Macaca mulatta: one gene and its partner. The protein of the gene in region 2 interacts with the protein of the main gene of each other region in a biochemical or structural test. Links are inferred from orthologs where the notes say so. Each region holds a gene or a part of one and is shown on either strand. Other genes may lie near its edges.

Region 1 (10,359 bases), on a different chromosome or scaffold from region 2:
GAAGAGACAGAAGTGGGTGAAGGGTCCTCTCAGTCTCCAACCTTCCCTGAATTTCAGGCTTTCCACTAAACAAGGAAATATTCTTCATGAGCAAGGCTTTTTAGGAATCAGGAAGATAGATGCTGACTTTGTAGCAAACGCTCAAAAGAGGGTGGGCAAAAATCTCTCAACACTAACCCTGTCCTTACATCCAAAAAAGTAGGTCCTTTCAAGCAAGTGTCTAAGACATTTATTTCAGAAGCTACAAATAAAAGTGGGACTACTCCTTTCAATTAACAACCCCTTGATACAATGAATTTAACCAAATTCTATTTATGATACAAATGACCTGGCCTCCCCTAACCCCATCCCTGGCTCCCCTACCCTCCTCACTCAATACAGGCATAGCACACACAGTCTCCCTGGGCTACCTCCAACATAGCACACCTAGAGAAAACTATATGCTTGTTGATAAAGGTCATGGAGGTATGAAATGAAGTTGGGGGAGTTGTCATTTTATATGAAGCAACATGTGTAAAATTTAGTTTAAATACAGGTCACTGCCCGGTGCAGTGACTCACATCTGTAATCCCAGCACTTTGGGAGGCCAAGGCGGGCGGATCACCTCAGATCAGGAGTTCGAGACCATCCTGGCTAACATGGTGAAACCCTGTCTCTTATACTAAAAGTACAAAAATTAGCCAGGCATGGTGGCGGGCACCTGTAATCCCAGCTACTCCAGAGGCTGAGGCAGGACAATCGCTTGAACCCGGAAGGCGGAGGTTGCAGTGAGCCAAGATCATACCACTGCACTCCAGCCTAGGCGACAAGAGCGAGCGAGACTCCATCTCAAATAAATAAACAAATAAATAAATAAATACAGCTCACCTACAGCCAAGAAAAAACTAGACCAGGTCGGGAATGTACTTGCCCTCAGTGGGAAACTCGGCTTGTGTCAAAAATCTCATGGAAAGAACTCAAAAGTCAGGGAGGATAAAAACTGTTATTTCCTTGCATGTAGCCAAAGGGAGTTATAAATTGGTCACAAACTTTTGGCTCTCACTCCAGTGTTTGCTGTCAGAAGTAGCTGCTCTTTGGCTAACCTGCAGCATTGGCATTCAGCTCCAGTGCATAGATCCTGAGGACTAGCTGCTCTTGTCTAACAAGACAAGTATGGTGGGTAGCAAATGGCAGCCCCAGAGATGACAAGAGCACCTTTACTGGGAATTGCCAACAATCCTGCCTTAGCCTGGGAAGGAGTTCATTACCTGCTGCTTACCAAACCCTGATTATTGAGACAGGCTCTGTCTTAATCATTTTTAATATGTTCAGTGCCTAGCACTTACTGACAATACATGCTTGCTAAATGAATGACTGACTGAATGAATGAATGAAATGAAGGACTGTCAAAAACAAAAAAACAAGATGCATAAGATGGAGATCTGACTAGACTAGGGAATGTTCAGACTAGAACCCTGTTACTTCTAGCATCTTCACAGGGAAATTAGAATCCTCATTAAAGGTGGAAGTAGGCTGGGCATGGTGGCTCACGCCTGTAATCCCAGCACTTTGGGAGGCGAAGGCAGGGGGACCACTTGAGCTCAGGAGTTTGAGACCAGCCTGGGCAACATGGCAAAACCCCGTCCCTACAAAAATTACAAAAATCAGCCAGGTGTGGTGGCACATGCCTGCAGTCTCAGCTACTCAAGAGGCAGAGGTGGGAGAATTATCTGAGCCCAGGAGGCAGAGGTTGCAATGAGCTGAGATTGCACCACTGCACTCCAGCCTGAGCGACAGAACGAGACCCTGTCTCAAAAACAAAACAAAAACAAAAAATACACACACACACACACACACACACACACACACACACACACACACAAAACAAAAAAAACAACAAAAACAGGGAAGTAACGAGCTACTTTCCAGGGAAGAGGGGATGCTTGGAAATGGCCCAGCCATACAACCAGATTTTTCTTTTATGCCACCCACATGCTGTAGATTGAGTGCAACTGAGGAGAAATACTATTAAACGCAAAGAAAGGATTTGGATCTGAAAGGGAAACGCAAATGTACAATGTGAGAATTTTATCTTCTCTACGCCACACAAGTTTATCCTGCTACATTTTTATTAAAGTAACAAAAAGGTGTACATTTGTCCATAAGCTGTACATTCTTCCATATAAAAACACTATCATACAATTAGTAACCTTTGTCTTTTCTGTCAGAATAGCTTACAAACATGCTACTATTATTTATTTTTACTTAATAGGAGAGACAGGTCTGCTCAACAGTCCAGCTCGGGGGTTTCGTTGTTTTTAAAGTGAACATCATCAAGAAGAGAAGAGAGACAAGATTAAGCATGAGACCATGGGGCTGCTTCTAAAAAGGCAGGGACCTGTTTGCAGACAAGATGCAAGAACACAGCCTGCAGTGATTCACAGCTTTGTTTCAACCCACAAGCCAGAAAATTAGCTCTTGGGTCTGTGGGCCCAAAGTGAACTTTAAAGCAATAAAGACTGGAAGCAGGGTCTGGGAAGGCAATACAAAATGTGGAGAGTTGAAAAGGAGGCAGAGCTGGCAGGAATGGGTAGGGAGAGTGTTTGGTAAATAGCACCTTTGAGTCAAAATTGAGCAGTTAAGAAATCCAGGAAAGGGGACTGGCTGTGGGGAGGGGAACCTGGGGGTAGAGGAAGTGGGGGAAGATTCCTCACTAAGGGGCAACAGCAGGAGGGTGGCCATCCTGGCCAAATGCCCTAGCCCTGTCCTTCTTCAGGTGATTCGGTTTGGGAAACTTGAGGTCTTTTGAGGACCCCTCATCCATGTCACTGAGAAATTGAAGGAAGGGAGTTTCTTCCCAGTGTAGCTTTCCACTTTTCTCCAACCCACAACAGTAAATATTGCACAAGTCTACGACAAATTTGGATTGTACTGAGAGAGACAGCAACCTTTCCCACAGATGCTCTGAGCACCAGGGAGAAAAAACAGTGCCCAAGGTTTGGCTTTTATTTAGTGTCGGCCCTGCAAGAATACCAAGTAGTCTTGCAGAACATGGGGCACTCTCCCATTCAGCCAAGGAATACATGCAAGGCTGACCAGCCAGCCATCATCCCAAGGAGAGCAGGAGAGATGGTTCCCTAAGCCCACCAGGGCATCAGGAGGTTCCGAGAGCCAGTTTTCCTCCAGACCCTCCTGGGACCCAGGGGGCATATTGCACAGTGACTGAGAACTCTTGTCCTAGAAAATAGGGTAGCTCCACGGCCCGACTGGAAGGGAAGAGGGAGGAGAGGGTGAGAGGAGAGTTGTGCTTTTGAAAAGAAGGCAGTAATAGAGGACCTGGAGTTCCCTGTAGCTTTTGAGCCACCTCTCAAAGGGATCATGGCAGCAGCAACAAGACTTCCATGTGGTTCCAAAAAGAAGAGTTTGGCCAAAAAACATCCCCAGTGGATACTCTTTGGGTCCCAAAATTCCATTGCAAATCACCCCCAAATTATTTGCCACACATACACACAAAGCAGCACTAGCAAAGCAAAGGTTTTGTGCAGAGTTCCCTCCCATCCTAACCCCAGTAACTTCCAGTTCCCTCCTCCCCCCTCAGAAACAAAACAAAACAAAACAAAAACCCCCAAAGCTTTAGATTCCTGGCTGGAGAGCAACATCTATAGGCCCCTGAGGGTAGAATTAGAAACAAGTCATGATTTCAAGAAAAGCTGCTTAGGACAGTAGGAATCAGGAGAGGCCTTTTCACTCTCTGCCCAGGACCTCATTAGAAAATTAAAAGAAATATAAAGTATAATTAAAAAGAAAAAGGAAAAAAAAAAAGATAACATAGTATTATTTAAGTCTAGGCATGAATGCCCCTGAGTAATAGAGGAGCCAGGGATGCAGGTGTCTGGCTGGGGGAGACAGAGAGTTCTGAACTTGGCCTCTCTTCCTCCCCCAGGGCAAATCCCAACCTCTCTGTTCACAGTTGCTAATCTTGCTCGCTCCCTCTCCCATCTTCCTGGGGCGCTAGCCAAACGTCTCCCACTTCACCTTGGCTAGGTCTACCCCCTAACAGCTCCCCCTCCTATAGGCAGACACTGGCTCACAGACTCAAGCACACACAACAGTTCTCTCCAAAGGCACCTGGGGAGGCCACTTCCAAGCAGCTCCCTTGAAGGATTTTTTTTCTTAAAAAAAATCTTTTGGTTTTTTTCCTCCTCTTTTCTTAAAAAAAAAATAATATATATATAAATAGCTCTTCATTTAAAAATACAGTTCCCCAGGTTGAGGTATGTGGTGGCCTGTTGTCACGGCAGCATGAGCACGGCGGCGCCCAGGGCGGGGGCGGAGGGGTCTAGCTGGAGACCGCCATCACGTAGTTCTTGGAGGGGCTGCTCCGGCCCAGCAGCACTTGGTTCTTGCAGGTGAGGAGCCCACAGGAGGCGGCCACTGGGGCCTCCTCGTACAAGACGCAGATGGAGCCGTCCTCCCCAATGCGGTAGGACACCTCATAGGGGTCCACCCACAGGGTCAGCTCGCTGGGCAGCAGCTGGTGCAGCTGGGGCTGGCTGAGTCCGATCTGGCTGGCCACCCTGCTGATGATGGGGTCCATCTTGTGGTTGATGCGAATGCAGCGGTAGCCCGAGCCCTTGGACGGCTTTTCAGGAAACCAGTGGTGTTTGTAGTGCTCTGTGGAGACAGGACGGGGGGAGATGCCCTGGTTAGAGCAGCTGGGCCATGGATACTACCACAGAGCAGGGAGGAGGGTCAAGGAACAGGAGAGGAAGGGGCCCTTTAAGTAAGGGAGGTGGATTCCTCTGAGTTCCAGGACCCTCTTGCCACTTAGCAGAGAAAATTTTATGGAAGCGGGAGAGATCTGCTTTCCTGCTTCCAGAACGTGTGTGTGTGTGTGTGTGTGTGTGTGTATGTTGGGAGGGGATTCCAGAGCTCTGGGGTACTCTCCAGTGGCCAGTGTATTGCTTTTGGCACACCCCCAGTTTCAGGAGGGAAGGGTGTGACTGGGGCTGGCATGTCCAGGCAGGGCCTCTGGAGACCTGTGAGCTGAAGTTTCAGGGCCAGGAAGGCTGCCAACATTGTTGGGTCCACAGCAAGTAATTGGGCCTCCCACCCTGTGTTCCCTCTGCTTCCTTCAGAAGAGTCAGGGAACCTTCCTTAGCAGTGCCCAAGGGAGTGAAAACTGGGTTGTTTTGATGAAACATCTGTTTTTCTCAGAAGGCAGGGTCTGTGTGGGTGCGTTCCGAGATGGCTATCGCTTCCCCAAACTGACAGCAACCAGCTAGAAACAGCTGGGAGAGAGGTCTCTCCCCAGCCAGCGAGCGGGCTGCTTATCTCTTCACCTCCCAACTCGAAGGCCAGCAGGGCAGGGTCACCAGCTACCAGGCTCTCCTCCCTACCACAATAGGTGGCAGATGGCTAAGGGGAACCAAAGAGAACACAAAGGGGGCCCAAATTCCAACTTGAAGCGAGTCAGCAACCAGTGGACTGCCCCAGGCACAGCGCACCCCGACCGGCAGGAAGAACGGCACTGGGACTCCGAGTTGTTGAAAAGGCTCGACTGCACCTTCTTCCCTCATCGGGACCCCTCGGCCGACCGGGCGGCCCGCAACAACATCCATCGAGGGTCTTAAGATCTCGAGGGTCCAGCGAGGGAGACGAGCCCGTAATGAGACCGGGACATAAGCTGGGGACTCGGGCTGGCACTCCAGGACCAGGGTTTGCGCCTCCGAGAGCGTGGAGGGGCGCGCCCCATCAGAACAGCCACGGGCCGAGACCCGAGCACAGGGTTGGGGAGGAAGACCCAGGAAACTGGGGACTGCGGGCCGCCCCGGGGGTCGGAGGAGGGCCACCGAGTCCCAAAGCTGCTCCTGTGGGTGACCCTGCCGCAGGAGTAAAGGAAAGACGGCCCTGGCAGGGAGGGGGCCGACCCCCGGTGGCGCCAGGCCCCTCGGCACGCGCTCACCTGTGAGTGCCTCCTGGAGCGCCCCGCTGAAGACCTTAAGCCGCTGCTCGCTCACGCAGCCCCGGGTCCTCAGGAGGCTGGAGAGGAAGCCTACGGCGGCGGCGATCTCCGGGAGCATGTCGGTTCCCTTCCCGTGGCTCATGTCGCGCGCGGCTCGGGCTCAGTGAGAGGTCTCGGGCGGGAAGTACGGGTCCACAAGCCAGCGCTGCCCTGGCCACTGCTCGGGCTCTGCCCGGACTTTCCCCGGGCCGCCTTTTTCAGGAGGTCCAGGGAGGTGGGGACAACCGGTGGCGGCGCTCATTGGCCGCGGCCAACGGATGGGGGCGGGGCTCGGGCCCGCCCCGCCCCGCCCCGCGCTCCGCCGCTCTTCCCCGCCCCCGCCACCCCAGCCCCCGCCCTCGCAGCCTTGGCGGCGCTGAGGTCATCGCTCGCTGACGTCAGTGCTAGGAACCTGCGCCCAGCTGAGCTGAGCGAGACGAGAGGAGAAAGCGAGGCTCGGGGAGGAGGCTCCCGAGTACTCCGCGCCGGGCAGGCCCCGGCCTCGCCTCTCCTCCCATTTTTAAGGCTCGGGTTAGAGGCCACCTCCTCCGAGAAGCCTTCGGTGACACCACCAGAAGGCTTCCCAGAACCGTTCCCAGGTGGTTCCCCTTTCGGATTCCCACAGCATTTTCCAACCATACACGGTCAGAACCACTCACCAGGACGTGTTGTCACCATTTTACCTCTTTGCCTCGTCTCTTAACTAGATGAAATGGGTTCCTCTTGGCTCTTTGGAAAGGGAGGCTGTCTTCTGCTTATTTCCGTAGTAATCCCACCTCCCACAACAAGTTCCGTTCTGCAGCAATGCCTTTTCTCTTGCTGAGAAACATTCAAGTCTAAGTTTTATGGTGGATAGGGGTAGGGGGTGTGTTGCAAGACTTTTGTCTTCTTAACTTATTTTTCTAGTTCTCACTTTCCTTAAGTGCTAATTTTTTTGAATTAGTAGTCTGCTCTCAACTGTACATATTTTTCCGTCCACTCCCTCCTTCCCCAGCCGTCTTCCTTCCTTATTGTGGATTGGACCTTCTCGAGAAAGAATCCGGCCTCAGTCTCCCTCTTCCACACTCAGGGACCGCCACCATCACAGGCACTCGGTGGATGTCTTCCGAATGGGGATAACTTCTACCCAACACCCCGAAGCCTGGCCCAGGGTCTGGCATACAGATGCCCAGTGTTTGTAAGGTGACTCAAACCCAATGGCCTCTGTAAATTCTTATTTTCCTTGAACTCTGAACCCTCTGACCACCTTCTGGAAGCAGTGTCCCTGTCCTTTTTCCTTATGCCCCAGGCTTCTCCACCCCACTGCCTGGCTGTGCTGGCCCTGGATCCCTTCCTGCCCCGTTCCCCACACTATGTCTCCTCAGTCCTCCTCCCTTTTCTCTAGGCTGCCTTTCCTTGGAGAGGTCCTATGCATGTAGTCTGCCTTGATGTTTACTGTTTTACAGTGACTTTTCTCATCTGCACAGTCTGTCCTCCTGTCTTTCCATCCTGCTCCTGTTCCCACCAGCTCTGTCCTCTCCCTCAGATGTCCAGCCACCACCTCAATGTGAGCGGAAGCCCATTGTCTTCTCCAAAGCTAGCTCCCTCTTGATCTCCATTTCTGTCAGCCATACCATCATTTCCCAGTCACTCTGTACAGAAAGGTCAGCCTCTCCTTGTGCTTTGCTCCCCAGATCCAGTCCCCAAATCGGTTGCTTCTTTCTGTCTAGATGGTTGCAGTGGATTCCATCCAGTCCCATCCCCAGGCCACCCTTCCCACTGTTAGTGGAGTTCCCTTGGTAAAATACTTAATTCCCTAGCTCTTCTCTTGATCAGGTCATTCCGAAACATCCCCTCCCAGATTGGTCTACTAATTCCAGTCCAGACTCCTTTGCCTAATGTTTAAGACCCTTCATAATTTAGCCCCATCTGCTTTTTTAGGTTTCTGCTACTTTGTGTTCCAGGGTCACTCTTCTCACTGCCCTCTAAGTATCACAGCGAATCTACAGCCTGGATCCCTCAACAGTTTGCCCATGATCCCCATCTCTGCCCTGTAACGTGGTCCCCATTCCATGCATGCCTGAACATGCATGACCTTGCTGCTCCGTGGCTCATGTCCTTATCTCCTGCATACATCATTGTCTCTACCACGCCCCACCCCCACCTCAATCTCTCACACTGCTGAAGGTACAGTGTAATATTGGTCTTCCACCTTGAAAGCCTATGCTGACCATTCTCTCGAGGCTGAGTTAGTCATCCATACCATTCACTGGGCATTCACAATCTATCATTTGGCATTGTTAGTGATCTTTTTAGAGACTCAACCACAGTTTGCAAGTTACTTGAAAACAGGTTACTATGCTCACATGTCCCACATTTCTGGGACAATTCAGAATTCAAATATGCTGCTCTACTGCTTCATATAACAAAACGACCCCAAATTCTAATATTTTGGCATTAAACGTATCTCTTAGACGGCCTCTTTCACTGGCTTCTCCCCAAACGCTGGATCAGGCCAGATGAGGCCATTATTTCTCCTCACTGAGGGGAAAGAATTATTTGTTACAGGAAACAGGGCTGACCCTGGAAACAAGTTAACTTAAAGATATACCAAACCATACAGACCAGGTGTCAGCAAGGCCAGAACTGACCAAGGTCAACCACTAAGGAAGTCAGGGAAATAGGTCAAGATATAGACAGCTATATAGGGTCATTCAGCACCTAAATCTGAAAACACCAACCATCTTCCTGGGTATGTCTGTGACAGGGGTGAGTCGTAGGAGATGCCTAACATCTCTTGCAACTGCACTGCTGAAAAAAATATTGTGGTAGCCCCTCACCTGTTTTTTGCTTTAGAAAATAGAATTCTGTCCTTATGTAGATTTTTCTGTCACTCACCAGGCCACACAGTGAATTCTCAAGAGAACCAGGACTGGGACCAAATTTTCTGACTTCAAGTATGGGACCTTTTCATTAGACTGTGGTGCCCTTCTGCTGCTGTTGCATGGGCCGCCGTCCTACAGAGCTGTCATTGCAGATGATGTAGTGAATGGGACAGGAGCCGGGAGGCTGGAACCCTTTGTCTCCACCGTTACCCGGGGTGTGTCTTGGCCTCCTCATTGGTGATTAGTTTGTGAACTTTGTGTAGGGCAGATATGATCCATAAATACCAGAAGGCAGTGCCCCCGCTTTCTCCTCTTTTCTTTTTCTTTTTTTTTCTTTTTTTTTTTTTTTTTTGAGATGGGATCTCGCTCTGTCATCAGGCTGGAGTGCAGTGGCCTGATCTCAGCTCACTGCAACCTCCGCCTCCCGGGTTCAAGCAATTCTCCTGCCTTAGCCTCCCGAGTAGCTGGGACTACAAGCATGTGCCACCATGCCCAGCTATTTTTGTATTTTTAGTAGAGGTGGGGTTTTATCATATTGGCCAGGATGATCTCGATCTCTTGACCTCGTGATCCACCCACCTCGGCTTCCCAAAGTGCTGGGATTACAGGTGTGAGCCATTGTGCCCAGACTCTCCTCTTTTCTTTCTATACACAAGCCTAGGGAGAGGAAGCTTAATTTATCTCACATTCAAAGTTCCCAAGTCAATATACAGCGTAGCCGGGTGTGGTAGCTCATGCCTGTAATCCCAGGACTTTGGGAGGCTGAGACAGACTGATCATTTGAGGACAGGAGTTTGAGACCAGCCTGGCCAACATGGCGAAACCCAGTCTCTGCTAAAAATAAGTAATAATAATAATAATAATAATAATAATAAATTAGCTGGGTGTGGTGGCGGGCGCTGGTAAAGCCTACTCCAGAGGCTCAGGCAGCAGAATCGGTTGAACCCAGGAGGCAGAGTTTGCAGTGAGCCGAGATCACGACACTGCACTCCATCCTGGGCAACAGAGTGAGAATCCATCTCAAAACATAAAAAATAATTAATTAAAAATATACATATGCATACGGTGTAATTGTACTCAACTCTGGATTTAGGTTCTCAATCAATTTCTGAACAAATACATTATAGTAGTCCCAACTGTTTTTGAAATTTCCTGAAACTGCTCTTAAATTGCTAGGACTAGAATCCTTAGAAGCTCTAAAAGTCAAGCTGTCATCCCTGCTTTTTTTCTTTGCATGTTGCCTGTTGCTTCCCATTCCTTGGTATAATCAAGGTGCTGTTTGAGCAGCAAGATAAGGAGAATGGGTCGCCTCTCCCTCCCCACCTGTCCTTCCTGCTTCTCTTTCTCCATTCCTGCCCTTCCTCCTCCTCCTCTTCCTCCTCATTCTTCTCTCCCTCCCTCCACTCCCACCCAAGGGTCTTGGGTTGAATTTTGAACTTTAAATGTTGACATGTGCTGACCAGTGACTTCACCCACTGAAGAGGGGGAATGGGGTGGTAGAAGTGAGGGTGG
Region 2 (9,968 bases):
GCGGAACCCACCAGGAGGTGGTGGCAGGGGGGTGCAGGCAGGCCATGCGCTGGGCTCCAGCTTCCTGCCCATCTCCACACTGCAGACCCCAACTGCTGGTCCCACCCTAGCAGCTGTCCTGACCCTGTCAAGGGACAGCGCCACGTGGACACCCTCAAGCCCACTAGGTTCACTCAGGAGCAGAGCCTGGCTGCTATCCCTTGCCCTTGGATTTCTCCATCAAGACGTTCCCTATCAGCAACGCAGTGATTGCTTCTTTCATAAATCAGAAAACCTCTCCCAAGCCCACTTCTGCTCAGGCAAACATTCCAGTGAAACGCAGTGGTCCAGCCTCTGTCTCCACTTCTCCTCCCAGGCTTCCGGAAGACCCCCCATACCCTCCAGCACAGGAAGAGGGGATCAAGTTGCCAACAGCCCCGAGGACTCCTCCTCCCTCTCCAGTATCTGTTTCCCAGCTAGCGCCGTGGCCCCAGGGGCTACAGGAGTCTTTGCAGGGGGTGGTCCTGTGGTTGTAGGACGTTTACCAGCCCCTGGCCCCTACATACCAGATGCCAGGAGCACCCCTTCTCCAGAGTGACAACCACAAATGTTTCCACAGATGGTGACGAACGTCCTCTGTCGGGGGTGGGGGGCACTGAAACTGCCCAGCTGACAACTGCTGCTGTCACGGGCTCGAGGGCGTCCCGGGGCCCACATTCCATGACTGCCCTGAGTGCCACCCACCCTCGCACCCATGGGCCGGGACTCACTCTTCCAGCCCACACCACTCCCGGTGACTCCAGGCTCCCGGCCTTCCATCCTCCTGCCTGCTCAAACCCGCCACACTGGACCTCTCTGCCCAGACCCTCTCTCCCAGAAGCCCCCCCCAGCTCCCCTGGAAACCCCCTGATCTCAGGTGATGGCAGCTCCTACCAGGTGCTCAGGAGGAAAAAGGGGGAGTGGAAAACAAAAAGCTGCCTTTCTCCTCCTCTCATGCCTCCCACCTGGGCTAGCAAACCCTGTGCGCTCTACCGGGGCCGCCTCTTGCCCTGGAGGTCACCCACGCCAACACCTGTCTGCCCTGCTCCCAGCCTGACAGACGTCACCTCCCACTGGCATCACCATGTCACTGATCCCCTTGTGTAGACTGGAAGCACCAGGAGGACAGGGCTTTGGCCTGGGTCCCCAGGCCCATCTTCCAGTAAATGCTAAGAAATCTGCTGTGTAGACAGGCGTGGGGCTGAGGGGCTCAGGGACCCGGGAACAGGCAGAGGCACTCGCCCCTGCCAGCTGCCCCCATCCGCCCCAGCTACCCCCATCCCCTACGCTGCCACCATTCCCCCCTACCACTGCCCCTATCCATGCTCCCCACCCCGGCTGCCACCCTCCTGCCCAGCTGCCCAGAGCCTCACGTTGTTCTTGGCATTGGGCCGCATGCCGATGGTGCCGAAGATCTCCTCGCCCGTCTTCACGGTCAGGTAGTCCTCCATGTAGAACACTGTCTGCTTCCAGTGCGTGTACGGGGACTCAGGGCCTGGGGGCGCAGGCGGGTCAGCTGGCCTTGGCCTGCTGCCCTGGCCCCAGTCTTGTGTTCCCTCTGTTGGAATGTCCACCCCCCTGACAGCTGACGGGACTGCTGTCCGTGAGTCACCTCCCTGTCATTCAGCTTTGGAGACAGGGACCGTGTCAGGCTTTTGTGGATGAGGAAACTGAGGCACTGCACACTCAGGTCACTTGCCCAAGGCCATGTGACTGCTACATGGCAGAGCTCACGCTGGAACACACATGTCCCCATGGCTCCCTCTGCCCGTTTCTTTTTTTTTTTTTTTTTTTGAGACGGAGTCTCGCTGTGTCTCCCAGGCTGGAGTGCAGTGGCGTGATCTCGGCTCACTGCAAGCTCCGCCTCCCAGGTTCACGCCATTCTGCCGCCTCAGCCTCCCAAGTAGCTGAGACTACAGGCGCCCGCCACCATGCCCGGCTAGTTTTTTGTATTTTTAGTAGAGACGGGGTTTCACCATGTTAGCCAGGATAGTCTCGATCTCCTGACCTCGTGATCCACCCGCCTCGGCCTCCCAAAGTGCTGGGATTACAGGCTTGAGCCACCGTGCCCGGCCCCTCTGCCCGTTTCTGTCACCCCCTCCACTATGTGGGTGCCCCTCGGCCCTGGCTCAGGAGCAGCCCCCAGCCCTGCGGGCCCCGCCTCACTGGTGGAGAAGCCCGTCCTCTTGTGGCAGCGCGTGAACTCGATGTTGAAGTAGGCCACCAGGGCGTGCACGTAGTCATTCCGCTTCACTTGCAGGCAGAACGGGGAGGTGAACGTCAGGTCTTCCACCTTGACGGTGTAGATGTCCACCTCCTGCAGGACAGGAGAGGGTGAGCTCCGGGATGTGTCCCCACCTCGCTTCATCCCCTCCTCCCTCCCTCAAGCTCCCAGAGGGCCTGTGACCTCACTGTCCCCTTCCCGCTGGCCCTCCCTTACTGGCACCCAGCCTCAGCTCCTCATTCACTCCTCATCCTGACTGTCCGGCTCCCAATAAACCGCCTCGGTTTGAGCCCAGATTCTTTGCTCCCTTCTCTCCCGCACCCAAACCTGGCGCCGCCACCCTAACTCTGTCCAGAGCCCACCCCGCCCCGACCCCACCTGGCCAGACCTCCTGGGAATGCAGGCACCCTGCTCCCCCCTCTCCACGCTCCCCCCTCTCCGTGCTCCCCGCTCTCCGCGCTCCCCCCTCCGCGCTCCACCCTCTCCGCGCTCCCCCCTCTCCGCGCTCCCCACTCTCCCCAACCCTTCACAAGTCCACCAGCATGATGGCTTCAAACGGCAATCCAAACACCAACTGAAAACCCTGCACCAGTTCCGCTGGTTCTCAGGAGGGTGGCCTGGGTGGGGTCCCTGCCCCTCCAGTCTCCTCTCCATTCCCACTCAACAGCTTCCTCCTCCCCACAGGAACCCCCGGCCAACCACCCAGCTTCACCCGGCTCACACATCCCAGCTCAACAAATACTCGTTGCCTTATTTTTTTTTTTTTAAACAGGGTCGGCCGGGCGCGGTGGCTCAAGCCTGTAATCCCAGCACTTTGGGAGGCCGAGACGGGCGGATCACAAGGTCAGGAGATCGAGACCATCCTGGCTAACACAGTGAAACCCCATCTCTACTAAAAAATGCAAAAAAAAAAAAAAAAAACTAGCCAGGCGGGTTGGCGGGAGTCTGTAGTCCCAGCTACTCGGGAGGCTGAGGTAGGAGAATGGCATAAACCCGGGAGGCGGAGCTTGCAGTGAGCTGAGATCCGGCCACTGCACCCCAGCCTGGGCGACAGAGCAAGACTCCGTCTCAAAAAAAAAAGAAAAAATAAATAAATAAACAAACAGGGTCTCAGAAGTTAAAAAAAGTTAAAAACAAAACAAAACACTGTCACCAAGGCTGGAGTGCAGGGATGTGATCACAGCTCACTGCAGCCTTGAACTCCCAGGCCCAAGAGATCCTCCCGCCTCAGCCTCCTGAGTAGCTGCAACCACAGGCACATCTCGGATCCCAGCCTGGCCCCCTGCTCTTCTGCAGCGTGTGCACCCGCTCATCGCCCCGGGTCCTGCCTTCCCGTGTACGGGCTGTGGGCTTTAGCTACCAGCTGCGGGTGTGTCCTCTGCCGGACACCAAGTGCCAAACGTGGTTCTCACACGGCAGCGCTCACAAAGATGTTTAAAGGATGAAATGTCTTTCCTGGGCCCCTAGCACCACCTCTGGCTGGCAGGTCAGGCTCTGAGACCTCAGGCCAACACTCTGGGCCCCAAAGTCCCATGCCAGGGCCAGGTGATGGCCTCTCTTTGGTTTCAACCCAGGGGGCACCTGGCCATGCCCACCCCCCCCTCACCTTTATGAGGCAGGCATTGGTGACCAGCTGTTTGGGGTCCACCACATCCACTAGGGGCTCCTTGATGGCCACATCTTTGATGCAAGACATGTCGAAGCCATACACGTTCTCCCACCCTGGGGAGGCAGGCAGGGAGGGGGTGAGCCCGCGGCAGCCCACCCGGGGCCCCGCCCGCCCGCTCCTGGGCCACGCTCACAGTGGATCTTGTAGTCTTTGTACTGCCGGTCCTCGATGGCCGTCACATACAGCGTGGCCCGGTCTGGGAAGATGAGGCCATCGGGCGCCTGCAGAGGGGCAGGGCGAGGCATGAAGGGTGGGGCCTGGCAATGCTGCCCTGACTCTTGCCCCCGAGATGTGACCTTCTGCCCTGGTCTGAGCCACCCTCATGTCGCAGCGGCACTCACCCCTCACCCCCTGGTCTATTTCCCACACGGCCGCCAGAGGGCACCCAGGGGCACCTCAGTCAGCTCCTGTCCCTCGAGGTTCTGGGGATCCTCAGACCCTCCCTGGCTGCTCTGAGAGGAAAAGCAAAGTCGCGCGGGGTCCCATAAGGCCCCACAAAATCTGCACATGCCCTGTCACCCCTTACCTCCACTGCTCCTCCTGCTGCCCTTCTAGACCCTCCTTCCACACGGGCCTCCCTGCTGCTCCACATGCAGCAAGGGAACACCTGCCCTGGCCACCCCTCCACATCTTCATCCAGCTCTCGGTCACCTTACCTCTCCCGGGGCGGCCTGCTGGGGCCGGAGAACCTGGTCTAGTGCCCTGCTACAGTTTTCCTGTTCCTACAAACCCCCCCACATCGCACCATCTCCCACCAGGGTCTGTCACACCTGGCTCGGGCTGTGGCCTTCTAACACCTTGCAGCCACACCCCCATAGTAAGTCCCGTCTGTGGGAAAAATTGAGTGCTTTTGGCCCCCAGCCCATGCGAGCTGCACCCGTTCGCTGGGGCCTCACCAGCCACTTGTCCCGGGCGTAGAGCACGGTGTTGAGCATGGACTCGTAGAAGAGGCAGTAGCCCATCCACTCGCTGATGATGATGTCCACCTTCTCCACCGGGAGCTCTACCTCCTCCACCTTCCCCTTGATGATGGTCACCACTGCGGGCAGACAAGGGCGGCCACGTCAGCCCCCAGGAGGCTTGCCCCTCACCTCCCCTCCCCCGGGGGCCACAGCCTGGGGACCCCACTCAGTTCAGAGAACTCGGTGAGCAGAAGCCATGAACCCTCTTAACTGTTTTAAAATTCATACATGGCTCTGGACATTTTTGAGGCAGGAGCAGAAATTTTATGTGAACTGGGTATCAGGCAATGTAATGATTTTTTTATTTTTATTTTTTTTTGAGACGGAGTCTCACTCTGTTGCCCAGGCTGGAGTGCAGTGGCACGATCTCGGCTCACTGCAAGCTCCGCCTCCCAGGTTCACACCATTCTCCTGCCTCAGCCTCCCCAGTAGCTGAGACTACAGGGGCCCGCCACCACGCCCGGCTCATTTTTTTGTATTTTTAGTAGAGACGGTGTTTCACCATGTTAGCCAGGGTGGTCTCGATCTCCTGACCTCGTGATCCGCCCACCTTGGCCTCCCAAAGTGCTGGGATTACAGGCGTGAGCCACTGCGCCCAGTCACGATTTTGGTTTTGTTTTTTTGTTTGTTTTTTTTTTTTTTTGAGACGGAGTCTCGCTCTGTAGCCCAGGCTGGAGTGCAGTGGCCGGATCTCAGCTCACTGCAAGCTCCGCCTCCCGGGTTCACGCCATTCTCCGGCCTCAGCCTCCCGAGTAGCTGGGACTACAGGCACCCGCCACCTCGCCCGGCTAGTTTTTTGTATTTCTTAGTAGAGACGGGGTTTCACCGTGTTATCCAGGATGGTCTCGATCTCCTGACCTCGTGATCCACCCGTCTCGGCCTCCCAAAGTGCTGGGATTACAGGCTTGAGCCACCGCGCCCGGCCACGATTTTGTTTTTAACTGGGCAGGCTTGATATAATAAGTAAGAGCATGGTCACATTCTCAAAACAGCCTTATCTATTAGATAAGACACATGCAAACGCATTTACCAGGAAAATTACATCACAGTGGGAATTTGCTTCAAATGGACTTGGATGTTCATTATAATAATCTCTTTTAAAAAATTCCCCAATCTCAGCACTTTGGGAGGCCAAGGTGGGCAGATCACCTGAGGTGAGTTCAAGACCAGCCTGGCCAACATGGTGAAACCACGTCTCAACTAAAAAAATACAAAAAAAAAAAAAAAAATTTCACGCCTGTAATCCCAGCACTTTGGGAGGCTGAGGCAGGCGGATCACAGGTCAGAAGATCGAGGCCATCCTGACTAACACGGTGAAACCCCGTCTCTACTAAAAATACAAAAAAATTAGTCAGGCATGGTGGCGGGCACCTGTAATCCCAGCTACTCGGGAGGCTGAGGCAGGAGAATGGTGTGAACCTGGGAGGCGAAGCTTGCAGTGAGCCGAGATCGCGCCACTGTACTCCAGCCTGGGTGACAGAGCGAGAATCCGTCTCAAAAAAAAAAAAAAAAAAAAAAAGCTGGGATGTACCTACAATGGTGGTCACGGAAAAGAGTGGATGCTGCAACATCCTGAAATATGTTTTTTTTTTTTTTTTTTTTTTGAGACGGAGTCTCGCTCTGTTGCCCAGGCTGGAGTGCAGTGGCCGGATCTCAGCTCACTGCAAGCTCCGCCTCCCGGGTTTACGCCATTCTCCTGCCTCAGCCTCCCGAGTAGCTGGGACTACAGGCGCCCGCCATCACGCCCGGCAAATTTTTTGTATTTTTTAGTAGAGACGGGGTTTCACCAGGTTAGCCAGGATGGTCTCGATCTCCTGACCTTGTGATCCGCCCGCCTCGGCCTCCCAAAGTGCTGGGATTACAGGCTTGAGCCACCGCGCCCGGCCTGGAATATGTTAAACGACATGACAAGCAGGTGTTTAAGAAGCCAAGGGCAAGAGGCTGGTATGAAATGCTACCGGCGTGAAAATTATGCGCGTGAATGTAAACACATTTACATATATATGTGTTTGTAGGTCCAGACGTCTCTAGAAGTTAGTGTTGGTTAAACTCGGAGGAGGGCAGCTGGGAAACAGGGCAGGCTTCTCACTGTGAGAACAGTGGCCAACCACGTGACTCTATTACTCATTCAAGAAACTAGAGAGTGCTTCTTGCCCTAATTTTAAGACGGAGGTGCTAAGCTTGTGATTTTGACACTCAAATTCTCAGGTGGCCGGCAGCCCAGAAGACCATGGGTGGGGAGCCGCTGAATCTGTGGCCATCCGTAGACCCCACTGCTCTTCAGAGGGCCCTGGGGAAGCGGCGCATCACCCCCTCCGCTCCCACAAACCCATCCTCTTTCTGGGCTCACCGTGGTCTAACTTGTTGGCTTTGACGATCTTCACCGCATAATCAGAGATACTGGAACACTCGATCTGAGGGCCCAGGGAGAAGGGAGAGTGAGACCTATCCCGTCCCCATCCCCTCCGTCCCATCCCTGAGCCCTGATGGCCCCCCTCCATTCCCCAGGCCTGGCCCTGCCTGGAAGCCCCGGAGACTCACCCCAATGACCTTGCGGGCCCCGGCCTTGGCGGCGAACATGCAGAGGATGCCGGTGCCCGAGCCGACGTCCAGCACCACCTTGTCCTTGAAGAGGTGCCGGTTGTGAAACATGGAGTTGCGGTACGTGAGGGTACGCACCTCGTCCTTCAACATCTCCTGAGGGAAGAACGGCACAGAGATGCCGTGAGGGGCCCCACATTCCCCGCTGAAGAACAGTGTGTCCTGAGAGCTCGGAGGGCCGGAACTCCGTCCTCTTGCTTCCTTCCATGCACCTCAGTTTCCCTTTTTTATTTATTCAGTTATTTATTTTTATTTTATTTTATTTTATTTTATTTTTTGAGACGGAATCTCACTCAGTTGCCCAGGCTGGAGTGCAGTGGGGCAATCTCAGCTCACTGCAACCTCTGCCTCCTGGGTTCGAGCGATTCTCCTGCCTCAGCCTCCCGAGTAGTTTCGATTACAGGCACACACCGCCATGCCTGGCTAATTTTTGTATTTTTCACAGAGATGGGATTTCACCATATTGCCCAGGCTGGTCTTGAACTCCTGACCTCAGGTGATCCACCCACCTCGGCCCCCTAAAGTGCTGTGATTACAGGCGTGAGCCACCGTGCCCAGCCAGTTTCCCTTTTTAAAAAATCAGAGAACTAAACTCCCATCTTGGCCAGACTTCACCACTGCCACCTAAGAACCAGCGAACCCTTGGCTTTTACAAGTCCTCAGGCTGGGGGAAGAGGCTCATGCCTGTAATCCCAGCACCTCAGGATGCCAAAGCTGGAAGATCACTTGAGCCCAAGACTTTGAGACCAGCCTGGGCAACAAGGCAAGACTATCTCTACAGAAAAATAAGAAAATCGGCCGGGCGCGGTGGCTCAAGCCTGTAATCCCAGCACTTTGGGAGGCCGAGGCGGGCGGATCACAAGGTCAGGAGATCGAGACCACGGTGAAACCCCGTCTCTACTAAAAATACAAAAAATTAGCCGGGCGCGGTGGCGGGCGCCTGTAGTCCCAGCTACTCAGGAGGCTGAGGCAGGAGAATGGCGGGAACCCGGGAGGCGGAGCTTGCAGTGAGCCGAGATCGCGCCACTGCACTCCAGCCTGGGCAACAGCGTGAGACTCCGTCTCAAAAAAAAAAAAAAAAAAAAAAAAAAAAAAAAAAAAAAAAAAGAAAAATAAGAAAATCAGCTGGGAGTGGTGGCGCACGCCTGTGGTGCCAGCTACTCCGAAAGCGGAAGTGGGGGGAACACCTGAGCTGGGGAGGTCGAGGCTGCGGTGAGCCACGATTGTACCACTGTGCTCTAACCTGGGCGACAGAGCGAGACCCTGTCTCTAAAAATGAAAAATGGCAATTTTATGCATATTTTGCCATAATTTTATGAAAAAGGCCTCAGGGGGAAAAGAAAATTCCTTAGAATGCCACTCCTGCTTCGTTCTGGGATTTCAGAGTCTTCAGTCAGATCTCAAGGGTGCAGAAGCTGTCAGGCCGGGAGCAGCCAGGTGCAGTCCCACCGCCAGTCACTAGAGGGCGGCAGAGACCGTGGGCCCTGACCGACCGCGGCCTAAGGCCCCAAGCACGCATGCACGCTCCTACCCCAGCCATCGGTGAGAGGCCCCTGCAGAGATTCAGGCTAACCTCGGTCTCCAAGGCAACGACTTGGCGAGGCGACCCTAAGGGGTGCGCAGCAGAGGGGCAGAGGGGCGGCCTGCTGCCAGGGGAAGCAGTGCGCATGCGTGGGAAAACAGGTTCCACCCCTTCCCCAACATTTAACCCCTTTAAGATTGGGGCCTTGGGGGCTGTCCCCACTGACCTCGTGGATGCCAAAGTGGGCGTAGGAGTCAAAGTAGTAATCTTTGGATGTCATGTCCTCAGCATTGGGCTTCTCGCTGCTTTCCGCCTGGCCACAGGACACCTGGGAGGGGGCCGATGGGATCATGGGTCAGATCTGGGGGCTCCCCACAGTCTCTTAAACCTCCAGGTCCCTACTTTTCCCTGAACAGTAGTATAGAACCCCCCAAAATCATACCATTACAACCCTACAGCCCCCGCCTGCCATCTTGCCCCCCAAGAACCCCAAAACCTAACAACCCCATTTTCCACTTCCAAGACCCCCACAGAGCACCATCCAGGGGAGCACCCCGATACCTCAGCCATGCCTACCATCTCTCCAGTCTCTCTGCCCCCGTCTCTAGCTCAGCCCACAGCTGGGGAGGGGAGGGGAAGGAAAATGGGGGCAGACACAGGGAAGGGCAAAGGGGGGTTGGAGGTGGAGTTAAGGAAGTAGCCGAGATACTGGGGGAGGCCAGCGGGGGCTGTGAACCTGGAGGGGTTGCTACTAAGTGTTTGGGGTCCTGCAGTAAACTGGTTTGAAGCAAGAGGGGTATGGTTAGACCTCAAGAAAGGGCCAGATGTGTGGCAAAATATATTGATGTGGAGGTCGGGGTGGGAAGGGGTCTCACAAAAGGATATTTACTTCTTCAAGAGGCGGCTGGAGGCTCATCCCATTAGCCAAGGTGGCTACAAAATTCTAGGAGAGAGTAACAGGGAGAAAGGATT

The links.
Region 1: the proteins of PRMT1 (region 2) and BTG2 form a complex in vitro, tested with the Homo sapiens proteins (2 studies listed by BioGRID). The link is inferred for Macaca mulatta from reciprocal best matches to the Homo sapiens genes PRMT1 and BTG2.

What each region holds. Positions count from the first base shown.
Region 1 is NC_133406.1:61,038,926-61,049,284, reverse strand, and holds BTG2 (protein BTG2), read right to left. Parts: upstream 6,164-10,359; 5' UTR 6,087-6,163; coding exon 5,945-6,086; intron 4,654-5,944; coding exon 4,319-4,653; 3' UTR 4,189-4,318; downstream 1-4,188. UniProt on the Homo sapiens protein: Anti-proliferative protein; the function is mediated by association with deadenylase subunits of the CCR4-NOT complex. Activates mRNA deadenylation in a CNOT6 and CNOT7-dependent manner. In vitro can inhibit deadenylase activity of CNOT7 and CNOT8.
Region 2 is NC_133424.1:62,133,471-62,143,438, reverse strand, and holds part of PRMT1 (protein arginine N-methyltransferase 1), read right to left. Parts: intron 9,940-9,968; coding exon 9,886-9,939; exon of another isoform or gene 9,882-9,885; intron 9,672-9,881; exon of another isoform or gene 9,576-9,671; coding exon of another isoform or gene 9,558-9,575; intron 9,325-9,557; coding exon 9,223-9,324; intron 7,571-9,222; coding exon 7,415-7,570; intron 7,288-7,414; coding exon 7,224-7,287; intron 4,951-7,223; coding exon 4,808-4,950; intron 4,133-4,807; coding exon 4,045-4,132; intron 3,965-4,044; coding exon 3,849-3,964; intron 2,336-3,848; coding exon 2,185-2,335; coding exon of another isoform or gene 2,093-2,184; intron 1,793-2,092; coding exon of another isoform or gene 1,735-1,792; exon of another isoform or gene 1,514-1,734; coding exon 1,392-1,513; intron 1-1,391. UniProt on the Homo sapiens protein: Arginine methyltransferase that methylates (mono and asymmetric dimethylation) the guanidino nitrogens of arginyl residues present in proteins such as ESR1, histone H2, H3 and H4, FMR1, ILF3, HNRNPA1, HNRNPD, NFATC2IP, SUPT5H, TAF15, EWS, HABP4, SERBP1, RBM15, FOXO1, CHTOP, MAP3K5/ASK1, MICU1 and NPRL2.